Linked DNA regions of Ovis aries. The main gene of each other region encodes a partner of the protein of the gene in region 3 in a complex. Links are inferred from orthologs where the notes say so. Each region holds a gene or a part of one and is shown on either strand. Other genes may lie near its edges.

Evidence for each region. The genes of interacting proteins can lie anywhere in the genome.
Region 1: the proteins of S100A10 (region 3) and ANXA2 are in contact, whole or in part, in a crystal structure (PDB 4FTG), measured with the Homo sapiens proteins. The link is inferred for Ovis aries from reciprocal best matches to the Homo sapiens genes S100A10 and ANXA2. Residues at the interface, in NP_002957.1 of Homo sapiens: Phe39, Gly41, Phe42, Asn45, Gln46, Ala51, Lys54, Ile55, Leu79, Ala82, Cys83, Tyr86, Phe87, Met91; in NP_001002857.1 of Homo sapiens: Val4, Glu6, Ile7, Leu8, Lys10, Leu11, Ser12, Leu13.
Region 2: the proteins of S100A10 (region 3) and HLTF are in contact, whole or in part, in a crystal structure (PDB 4HRE), measured with the Homo sapiens proteins. The link is inferred for Ovis aries from reciprocal best matches to the Homo sapiens genes S100A10 and HLTF. Residues at the interface, in NP_002957.1 of Homo sapiens: Phe42, Asp58, Leu59, Asp60, Gln61, Gln70, Ser74, Leu75, Ala77, Gly78, Leu79, Ile81, Ala82, Tyr86; in NP_001305864.1 of Homo sapiens: Thr32, Phe33, Phe34, Pro35, Phe37, Phe39.

What each region holds. Positions count from the first base shown.
Region 1 is NC_056060.1:48,019,915-48,023,430, reverse strand, and holds part of ANXA2 (annexin A2), read right to left. Parts: intron 1,825-3,516; coding exon 1,734-1,824; intron 823-1,733; coding exon 743-822; intron 1-742. UniProt on the Homo sapiens protein: Calcium-regulated membrane-binding protein whose affinity for calcium is greatly enhanced by anionic phospholipids. It binds two calcium ions with high affinity. May be involved in heat-stress response.
Region 2 is NC_056054.1:239,824,508-239,828,023, forward strand, and holds part of HLTF (helicase-like transcription factor), read left to right. Parts: intron 1-551; coding exon 552-718; intron 719-3,516. UniProt on the Homo sapiens protein: Has both helicase and E3 ubiquitin ligase activities. Possesses intrinsic ATP-dependent nucleosome-remodeling activity; This activity may be required for transcriptional activation or repression of specific target promoters.
Region 3 is NC_056054.1:101,966,217-101,970,295, forward strand, and holds the start of S100A10 (protein S100-A10), read right to left. Parts: upstream 2,804-4,079; 5' UTR 2,752-2,803; intron 2,480-2,751; exon of another isoform or gene 2,196-2,479; intron 1-2,195. UniProt on the Homo sapiens protein: Because S100A10 induces the dimerization of ANXA2/p36, it may function as a regulator of protein phosphorylation in that the ANXA2 monomer is the preferred target (in vitro) of tyrosine-specific kinase.

The DNA.
Region 1 (3,516 bases), on a different chromosome or scaffold from region 3:
AGAGGATGCCTGAGGCAGTTGAGGGTTTGTATGTGATACAGCAGAAATGAGTTTTGATCAGGGTATGAGTAAAACAGTACAAGTAGATTTCAAAATGATGGGTAGGTGACCAGACTCAGGGCAGGTGGTAGAGAAGGGAGCTGGGGAGGGCGGAATGGAGGTGTAGGTGGCCAGGATGGAGTGTGCCCACTTGTCTTCAGGGTTCCTGGATGAAAATTCCTCTTCCCTTGCAGCGCTCAGAGTCATTAAACTGCACATGGGTCAGAACTCAGACTTAGAAGGGAAGTGCCTTTCAGCTACATTAATGTGTTAACCTTGGCAAACAAGCAAAGAGCTTCTCCCCAGGCAAACCACTACCTGGGCAAACCATCCCCTAAGAAATTATAACAGGTGAAAGAAACAAGAGGGTCACTTCCCACTGGGTCCTATGTGACAACATAGAGAGGCAAAATGACTTTCCCCAAGTCACAAGGCTGGCACAGAAATCCAGGCCAGGAGCTAAGAGCTGCCTCTTCCACCTCTGGCCCCAAAGTCCACCTGACCATACGGTTTTGCAGGATAAGAAATCCTATTATACAAAAATGACAACTCTGCAGTTGACAGTGCAAACCCACTGTCAAAATACAGCTGGAATTTCTGATGCAGGCCCAGAGGACTGAGTTAATTCGCTCCCGAGTATAAAATGAGGTATGTAACTTGCTTTGGGAGGAAGCAAGGACAAAGAAACGAGCCGGAAACTAACCTTTGCGAGGGCGACCATCAGCTTGCGGAAGTCGCCAGATGTGTCGGAAACAATGTCCTTCTCCAGATCGGTCTTGTACACTTGGAAAACAACACATCTGGTTTAACACCTCCTGCCTACGCAGCCAGCCACCCTACCCATCCTCTGCCCACTAAGCCTCTGAAAAGCAGAAATCTGTGGCAGCGTGGATGTACCCCTAAAAATGAGGGTGGATTCTCAAGAAGGAATTTTACCCTCATAAAATCAGAACTAGTATTATTATATTATTATCAGTGACAAGCAATACACAGAGCAGGATCAGACAGGGAATTCTCAAGCTCGCCTTTGATTAGGGACCTCCTGTCTAGCTAAAATACTACTTCCCAAACTTCTTGATTATACTTATTTAGAACATGAAAAAATTTGGAGGACTACACACACACAAACACAATTGTGCTTTATATCCACTGATTGAGAAAATGCACAATGGCAAAAAATTAGTAAGAATTAAAGGGTACTTTTGAATGAATTTGTATTTTCCTACTCAACACCTATGTTGAAATGAAGTACCGCACACCAGGCATGCTGCATCACTCACTCCACCTCTGGCCTCCTCTACTGCTTGGCACACGTGGTTCTGCTGTCTCTTGAAACAATGACCCACAGTCAAGTCTGGGAATCGCCTCAGCAGACACAGGACAGCACTCAGTACATGAAATCCACGGGGGATACTTTCTACTTCTCCCCATCAGATCTCTTTTGTTTGATAGTCTCTGCTTTCCCTCCCATATATCCTTCTGAACTAGTTTTAGGGGGATGTAGTCACAAAGACCAGGCTATCAGGAGATGGAGGAGAGTGACCTGGTCACAGCAAACCCCTGGACAGTCCAGATGGCAGGTATTTCTACACATGGAATCAAGGGATCCTATCCTGAACACCAGACCAGGAGGCCAGGACAGTGGTCCCAGACACAAGGTGGAGTGGATGCACCATGGACCTGGGGCTACTCACTTTCCTTGTAGACTCTGTTGATCTCCTGCAGCTCCTGGTTGGTCCTTGAGCAGATGATCTCAATGAGAGAGTCCTCATCAGTCCCCAGCCCCTGGGAACCAGGCAGCACAGACATTAGCAGGGAAACCCCTCCCGGCCACTAGCCCACTTCTCTGAACTCAATCAGGTAAACTGCACGCATGAGTTCGGTCTACAGTGCGTCCCTTTCTGCATTCCTCCTGAGGGATCTGTACTGAGTCCTTGGCACAAGGTAATGTTATATTCTATTCCTTTAAAAAAAAAAAAAAGCTTTACTAGAATAAAGGACAGTTTAACTGGCATTTTTTATTTTTAGCTCAACTATATATATATATATATATATATACACATACACACACACACACACACACACACACACACACACACACACACATATATATATATATATATATTTCCCCACTATATATAAACATATAGTTAAATGGGAAGAGACAGTAATGGAATATACCAACATGTTAGAATACAGCCCTTTTTGGCGATGGGTTTATAAAATGAATAACTTCATCTTCTCTTTGTTTCTTTATTTTTCAACTCCTCTAATAATCAGCCATTATTTTCACAGATAAGAAATCATTTACTTTATTACACAATTCTGCTCATTAATTTAAAATAAAGGAATATAGAGATTTTGAGCTGTTGTTGGCAGCCAGCATTGTTAGACTGAAATAAGTCTTTTATGAGGGAAAGGTATAGATAAGATAAAATTTTTAGCTTTACCTCTTTGAAATGTAAAACTGGGTTAATGTTAAAAATTTCATTCTTGTACTTCCATTTTTGCTTGATTACTATGCACTCTTCAGGCATTTTAGAGAAGCAAAAGGAAATAATGAAGCGCCAAATAAACCTAGACACCAACACTTTATTAAGGAATGAGAATTTGATGGGTGATGTATTCAAATTTAATATATACACTTTTGAGCTGGCGTGCCAGATAGCTTGAAAGGACTCAGTGAAACATGTATTTCAAAGCTGGCTTCATGATCAAAGTCAAGATTTAATAATCAGGATTCTCTAATACTCATCTTTCCGAATATGGAAATATCACTTTGAACTAAGCAGAATTACCACTGTTTAAAATGTAAATCAATTATAAGGTGTTAATACAATAAGAAACTTACTTATCCACATGAGAAGTGTGTCAGCTATTAATTAAACTTATTAGAGTTTATGTGCCCCTGAAAAAGTAGTTTGTATAATATGAGCTAAGCCTCAGGTTAATAGTTAATTCTGAATTTTATTCCTCAATCTAATCTATGAGCCAAAGCCTCTTCTCCCAGAGTTTTTAATCATGATTTGTAGAGGTGCTTGCAAAACCAAAATTCCTTCCCTTAGCAAAAGGTCTACACAACATTCTATAAGAATATTATACAGAGACTACCAAGCATCTTCACATATTTTAAGGGGCAGTTTGTCAATCTCGAGGATGTAAATATAGTCTAAAAAATAACTCATGCATTGGAAGAAATGTTATTTCTTAACATTGTTGAAATGTAAAATAGGTACAGCAACATAGATTTGTTTTCTTGCATCACTGATATGCCCATTTTAACACAGGAAAATTCTGAGTGTTTTTTCTCTATATTTAAAAGTGACCTTGGCAATTTCAAACTTGGCCCAAGCTCTCCACAGACTGTCCACAGTTCCCATCACAAGGGCAATGTCTACTGTACCATACGGCAGATATTGCCAGTGGTACTGCCAGAAGTCAAAACAGATTTTTTTTTAAGCATTGTTCAGTTAATGT
Region 2 (3,516 bases), about 140 Mb from region 3:
TTCCCCTTTCAGATTCTGGAGAACTTAGGCTTAGGAACCAGCCTGCCTGGATTCAAATTCTAAGCTCTGCTACTTATTAACTTTATGACCTTGGACAAGTTACTTAACTTTCCTGTGCTTTAGTGTCTTCATCTGCAAAATGGAGATAATGATAAGACCTACCAGTAGGGTTGTGACAGTTTTGAAAGTCAGTCTGTATAAGGTACTTAGAACAATGTTTGGTATGTAATAAGCATTCAGGAGATTATCTGTTTTTGAAGTTATGTTGGGAATTTTATATAATGTGTATCTGTTAGTTTTGATTATACCTTTTATATATCAAGGATTTTTTTAACTTTCCAATTAATGTAAATTAGGAAAATACTGCAAAAGAATTATTTTAAAATATATTCTGTAATATTTCTGTAGAAATATGAGTCTAAGAAAATGTACATTTCTTATGTGTGGTGTTATTCAGCAAGCATTAAAAAAATGAATGGAAATCCCAGATAAAGTACAGTGAAATCTATCATATATTTATTATTTATAACATATCTGTTTATTTTTATTAGGTTAATAATAATGAAATGGTTGCATTACAACGAGAGCCGAATAACCCCTATGATAAGAATGCAATTAAAGTAAACAATGTGAATGGAAATCAGGTTGGTCATATAAAGAAAGATCTTGCAGCTGCCTTGGCCTATATCATGGACAACAAATTGGCACAAATTGAAGGGTAATGCACTTCTGGAGTTTAGTTTCAATAATTGTGAATTGTGGTGATCTTGAATTTAAGGATATGTATAGTTGCTCTGACAACTTCTGTGACTATACCTTTAGTATATGTTCAGTAAATGTTTTAATTTTATCATCTGCCTGCACTACCCTAACCATCAGATAGCTATTCCCTCACTTTCCTGGTAAATTATTACCATGGAGAAAAAGAGACTTTGGTTCAAATATTAAAAAGTCCATACAATCTTTTAGGAAAAAAAGCCTTTTTGTTGTTGTTCAGTCACTCAGTCATGTCTGACTCTTTGCGACCCCATGGACTGCAGCACGCCAGCCTTCCCTGTCCTTTACCACCTCCCAGTGCTTGCTCAAACTCATGTCCATTGAGTCGGTGATGCCATCCAACCATCTCATCCTCTGTTGTTCCCTTTTCCTCCTGGCTTCTATCTTTCCCAGCATCGGGATCTTTTCCAATGAGTGGGCTCTTCGCATCAGTTGGCCAAAGTATTGGAGCTTCAGCTTTGGCATGAGTTCATCCAGTGTGAATATTCAGGGTTGATTTTCTTTACGATTGACTGGTTTGATCTTCTTGCTCTCCAAGGGACTCTATAGTATCTTCTCCAACACCACAGTGCAAAAGCATCAGTTCTTCAGCACTCAGCCTTCTTTTTGGTCCAACTTTCACATCTATATGTGACTATTGGAAAAACCCATAGCTTTAACTAGATGGACCTTTGTCCACCATGATTTTAGTTTTTTGAATGTTGAGTTTTAAGCTAGCTTTTTCACTCTCTTTCACTTTCATCAAGAGGCTCTTTTGTTTCTCTTTGCTTTCTGCCATAAGGATGGTATCATCTGCATGTGTAAGGTTATTCATAGTTCTCCTAGCAGTCTTGATTCCAGCTTGTGCTTCATCCAGCCTGGCATTTTGCATGATGTACTCTGCATATAAGTTAAATAAGCAGGGTGACAATATACAGCCTTGACGTACTCCTTTCCCAGTTTGGAACCAGTCGGTGGTTTCATGTCCGATTCTGAGTGTTGGTTCTTGACCTTGTGTACATATTTCTTAGGAGGCAGGTAAGGTGGTCTGGTATTCCCATCTCTTAAAGAATTTTCCAGTTTGTTGTGATCCACACAGGCTTTAGCATAGTCAATGAAGCAAATGTTTTTCTAGAATTCTCTTGCTTTTTCTATGATCCAGTGGATGTTGGCAATTTGATCTCTGGTTCCTCTGCCTTTTCTAAATCGAGCTTGTACATCCAGAAGTTTTCGGTTCACGTACTATTGAAGCTTAGCTTGGAGCATTTTGAGCATGACCTTGCTAGTGTGTGAAATGAGTTTAATTGTGCAGTAGTTTGAACATTATTTGGCATTGCCTATTTTTGGGATTGGAATGAAAACTGACCTTTTCCAGTCCTGTGGCCACTGCTGAGTTTTCCAAATTTGCTGGCATATTGAGTGCAGCACTTTCACAGCATCATCTTTTAGTCTTTGAAATAGCTCAGCTGGAATTCTATCATTTCTACTGGCTTGGTTCGTAGTGATGCTTCCTAAGGCCCACCTGACTGGCCACAATGTCTTGCTCTAGGTGAGTGATCGCACCATCGTGGTTGTCTGGGTTTATCTTCTTTGTTATCTTTGGTGGTTATCTTCTTTGTATAGTTCTTTTGTGTATTCTTGCCACCTCTTCTTAATATCTTCTGCTTCTGTTAGGTCCATACCAATTCTGTTCTTTATTGTGCCCATCTTTGCATGAAATGTTCCCTTGGTATCTCTAATTTTTTTGAGGAGAAAAAAAGGCCTTTTAGTGTATTGATTTTAGAAGTTTGGGAATGTTTGTTTAAATCTGGTTGTAAGCTGATAGTCTGTGATCAGTTCCAGATGAGTTTGATTTTGCCTGCAGTGTTTAAATTTTTTCGGTTATTTCCAGTATTAAAATATGTGGATGTTCTGCATTTTATGCATATTATTTTTTCCCTAATTATAAAACATTATTTACAAAGTTTTCTCTTGATAAATGGAAGATCTGGTAATACAGGATACTGATTTCCACTTGACATCATTTGACTGGAGCTAGGTAGCAGCTGTTGCATTAATTAGGCATATCCCTTCTTAGTTTTACCACCTGTTCCTTTTTTAAAACTCAGTCTCCTTGGTTGTGTTTTGTATGCGTTTATGTTTGTGATCTAAATTTTAGTGTAGATTGTTTAGAATATTTAAAGGTGAGTTTGGAAGATAAATACTTAGCAGTGTCTTCTCACTTATTTACTTGTTTTCTCCTTTTTCAGTTCATTTCCTTTCTCAGGCTTTTCAGATGTTGAGAGTAAACTTTCAATAAATCCTGAATCAGAAATAATTCTTTGAAATCATTCCCCATTTTCTCAGATTGGGTTGCTACACTCAGTGGTTCTGTTAGTGAAAGCTCTACCTTCTCAAGTAAACTTACTATTTTACTTATCTTACAACCTTGGTAATAGGTTATCTTATGTATTTAAACACTTCTATCTCAGTTTCTTCTGGCATTCTGATCCTAAAAACTGCCCTTACCTTCTCATTATTGGTCCTCCTCCATGTTCTTTTTCTTGCTAGTCTGCCCAGTTAGATACTTTTTGTTGTTGTTCAGTTGCTCATTCATGTCCGACTCTTTGCAACCCCATGGACTGTAGTACTCTAGGCTTCTCGGTCCTCCACAATCTCTTTCTGTTTTACTTCCAAGTAAAATTTGCACGTGACAGATATTTAACATGATTCTTAATGGGACTTAAAATTAAATGTAAAAAATAACTCTATTAACTTCTC
Region 3 (4,079 bases):
CATGCCCAGATCCAGGCCATAATTTCAAAAAGGAGATTTCTAAAGAGCAAGAAGTCTGATCTCTTCTGTGTCTTGTCCATGCCCTAGTTTTCTTACAGCCCACCCAAAAAACAATTAGCAGAATGTTAGTAAAAACAAACATGTTATCTAAAACGTGTCTTAGGTGTCCTTCTTTTTGATGATTTTAAAAAGAAAAAAAAGGGGGGTGAGGGAAGGGGAGTGGGATCGGGAATTGAACCCCAAAGGCATTCTTGAATTTGATCCCTAAAGGGAATTCAGCAAAAGTGAGTTGAGGCAATGGATCTAATCCAGGCTGTCTCTCCCACCTTTCACCAAACATAAAATTTTCCCATTAAGAAAATGAGCGGCAAAATAAGAGTTCCAGATACAATCCTATAGGAAGAACTCTGAGGCCTTCCTACCCTAACAAAGTACATCCAATTCTCCATGAAGAGCTGTCAGGTATCAGCCAGAACTGGCAAACGGCCATTGTGACAACAGCTATTAAATCCATTGTTGGATTAGGTGGTAGTTATTTAATAAAGGGCCAGGAAGTGCTGAAAATCGTTAAAAATCATTCTTTTTGCTTTCGATGTGAGATTCCTAAATTGTTGAGTCTCAGAAAAATGAGAACCTTAAGACTCTAAAAAGATCAGCTTTCCTAGCAGTCTGAGTGCTAATCTATACTTTATATCTCTGAAAGGATTCCATTGTTTCCTTCAACTTTAAAAGACTGGACTGGATCAAGGCCATACCAAGTGGGTAGTGCTCTAAAAAAGTCACAGGGTTGGAGCTGTCCGTGGAAAGCAAAGAGGCACTCAGTTTCAGCTCCACCCAGCCCAAGGCCTGACCTCACTGGAGAGTAGCTGCTGGAGAGGTTGGCCAGGTGCCAGACATGGGAGGCAAGGGGGCCATCTGATGTTGTACACAGGAAAAGCCGGGGAAGAGCATCGCCTAGAAATCAGAGTGCTTTATGCCCAGAAGACCATTAGGAGAATCTGAAGAAACAAAATAAGAATCTCCAAATGGTGGATCAAGGACCACAGTGAAGAAAGTAGCTTCTGGCTGTCAAGGGAGGAATACATCACTTGGAAGAGATGATTAAACAGAAACCAGACAGGAGTCTGTGCGGGCAGGGCTGAGGAAGAAATTTCAGATGAATTGTGAACTCATTCCTGCCCTAATGCCTGGCATCACCTTTTGCAATTTGATGAAATATGCTGGAGGCAAAGATCACTGACAGGGTGTTTCCGTGGGCCTGGCCTCACCTGAAGGGCAGGATATAAGTCCACGGCTGCAGTTTGAAACTCATGCTGTAGGGGAAAAAGAATCTGCAGTAACTGCAAACCTCTCAATGGGAAGCACTACCTCCCAAATAAAGCTGAGGCAGCCTGCCAGTGGGAATCCAGACCCATAACCCAGCAGCTGAAACGCCATGACCCTACCAATCTAACTTGTCCTCAACCACAGTTCAGTCAAGAAACCTCTCCTTCAGATGGCCGGCCTGTCCGGGTGTGACTCATTTCCTCTTGGAAAATGCCCTCTAAAATGGCACAGTTCCCCTTTTCCTTCAGGGGAGTGTTCTGTCTGAACCATCTGCAGAGAGTCTGGAACCATCCAGACCACACCCACATGGTCTCACAACTGAGTCACAGGCTTCCACTAGGAGAATCCGGGAGCCCTTTGTGCTAACCACGCCCTGCAGAAACCTCAAGGGAGGGAAGCGGGTGGGCTTAACGTATTCCAGAGTCTGGACCAGGGCCCCGTGGTGCCTGGCACAGGGCTAGCTGCTCTGCTGGCCCCTCCACCCTCGCCCAACAAGGCAGATTCCGGGTTTCAGTTAGGTGGAGACCGCCCGAGGCTGGAGAGTGCGGTATTCAGGTCTGGGGGCAAAGCACCAGTCCTTTGCCAGGCTCAAATTGTGTCCAGGTACCAACAGTTCATTTTACTGGGCCAGGTTAATCTGGGGTGTTAGATCCTTCATTAAACTTGCTCTTCCTCTATCTCTGTATAGATCCACTAAAATAGCAAGAAGGGAACCCTTTCAGTACAAAACCCACTTCAGTGGTGGCCGAAGGTGATGGCTTCCCCTTACCCCCTCAGCAAAACTGTTTTATAAGGAAAACAAATAGAGCCGTCTTCCCTCCGCTGGTAGAGAGAAACTTCTCGTCTAGCAGACAAATAACAGGAAGCCCAACCTTGAAGCTTCGAGGAGAGGGACAGAGGGGTGTCCTTTAGGGCGAGAACCCGCCAGCCCTCTCCGAGTCTGCACGGGCCGTCCAGCTAGGAGGCTACGAACATCTGGACAGAAGTCAGCCTGCAGCCGGAGCCCACAAAGAAACAAGCCGGCCAGGACAGGGGGCCAGAAACAGGGATTCGGGTAACTGCGGAGACCAGTCGAAAAGCAGGAGGGGTGTAAACAAAGATATACCGAAAGGTAGCGCAGAGCAGACCCCGGGGCACCGACACCGAAGTACTGGTAAAGGCCAAGTGCTCCCTCCTCTGGGGGTCTGGGGGGGTCGCGCCGGGGAGGGACAGGGGAGGTGCTCGCCCAGCTGGGGTGTGGCCCAGAGCTCGGGGAGAGGATACCCCCGCATGCCCAGCCGACGCCGGACCACCACCATCGTCGCACCCCCACACCTGGGACGCCCGGTGAAGACCGCCTGGCCAGCGGGAGCCGCCGACGTGGGGATTTCCCCGGGCGCGGGCTGTGGGGCCGGGGACCGCCCGGGACCGGCGGGCAGGACTCACCTTGGCGGGAGGCGCAGCGGGGACGCTCGGCTGGCGGGGACGCGCGGCCAGTGAGCACAGCGCCGCGGGCAGGGCGCCTTAGTACGTGGGGGTGGGGGGCGGGGGGAGGCAGGAGGAGCCTGGGCGGGTGGCAGGGCCTCGGCTCACCCCACCTCTTCCCCTCCCTCCTCTTCCTGCCCGCCTCCCTCTCCCCCCGCCCCGCCACACTCACACCCCGGGCGCAGCGCACACACCCTTCTCTCGCTATGCGGAGTAGCCTCGCTCCAGGCCTCCACCCGCCCCCAGAGAGAAAGATATTGTCAACTCTTCCTACTCAAATGCTCTCGAATATTTTCGTGCCCTTCCTCTAGGGTTTGCTTTTAGCGAGTAAGTGTGGAAATCAAAGAATCCAGTCGTTCTGCGGGTGGGGCGCGCTGGCCCGGAACCAGATTGTAAGCTCCTCGTCTGTAAACTACAGGTCTAGGAATTATTTTCTACATGATATTGTAGGGAGGGGCACCTGACGCAAAGGCCTCAGACTTGGTTTCAGATTAGACTCTAAGAGGTAAATTGGGAGGGGGGGGGTCCAAGGCCTGCGGGGGGTCTCCCCCTCACCCGCCGCCCCGCCTAAGGGTTGTTCTCGGAGAAGGCGAGTTCACTACCCGCCGCAGTGAAGGGGGTGGTGGTGCTGTTTGGCTTTTTAGCTCCAGGGCATTAAGAACCTTTCGTTGAACTGGAAATTGACCCCTCTTAGCGTGCGTGGCAGTTGGTCTGGCGTTCAGTTTCGGCTGTAGTTGACATGATTAAAACCTGTTTAAGAATCTCCTTTTTTTCCTTTTTTTTTTTTCCCCTGAAATTGGCCTGTTTGGTCCTCAAAGCACTTCGGAAGTAATTTAGAGAAAACCTAAGGGTTTCCTAGCTGGTGCTATCCACTCCCCCACCCCCAACATTTATTTTAATTGTGGTTCAGGGTTAAATGCAAACTACTAGCAGCTGTTGGTGGAAAAGGGCCCAGTCCCAAGTCTTGGGTTTTCCTTTGTTCCCAGGGGAGGTCCTGGGAGGAGTGAGTGATCCCTGAGGAATGAGCAGTCTTGGGGAATCCTCCAAATGCCTCCATGTGACTAATCTGAGCTCTTGCCAGGAAAACTCGGATTTCAGTTCTCACTCCACTGAGTTCCTCAACCCTGGTGCTGAACGTTCAAGGGGGCAGTTCTGCAGCCTTCCCATAGGCTTCCTAAGCTCTTCCTAGGCTGTTGGCTACAGTCAAGAGTGGAGAAAATTCTCGGTCCCTTTAGTTCCAGGAAAGATGCAACTGGATTTAGAATGAGAACACCTGAGTTCCTATACTA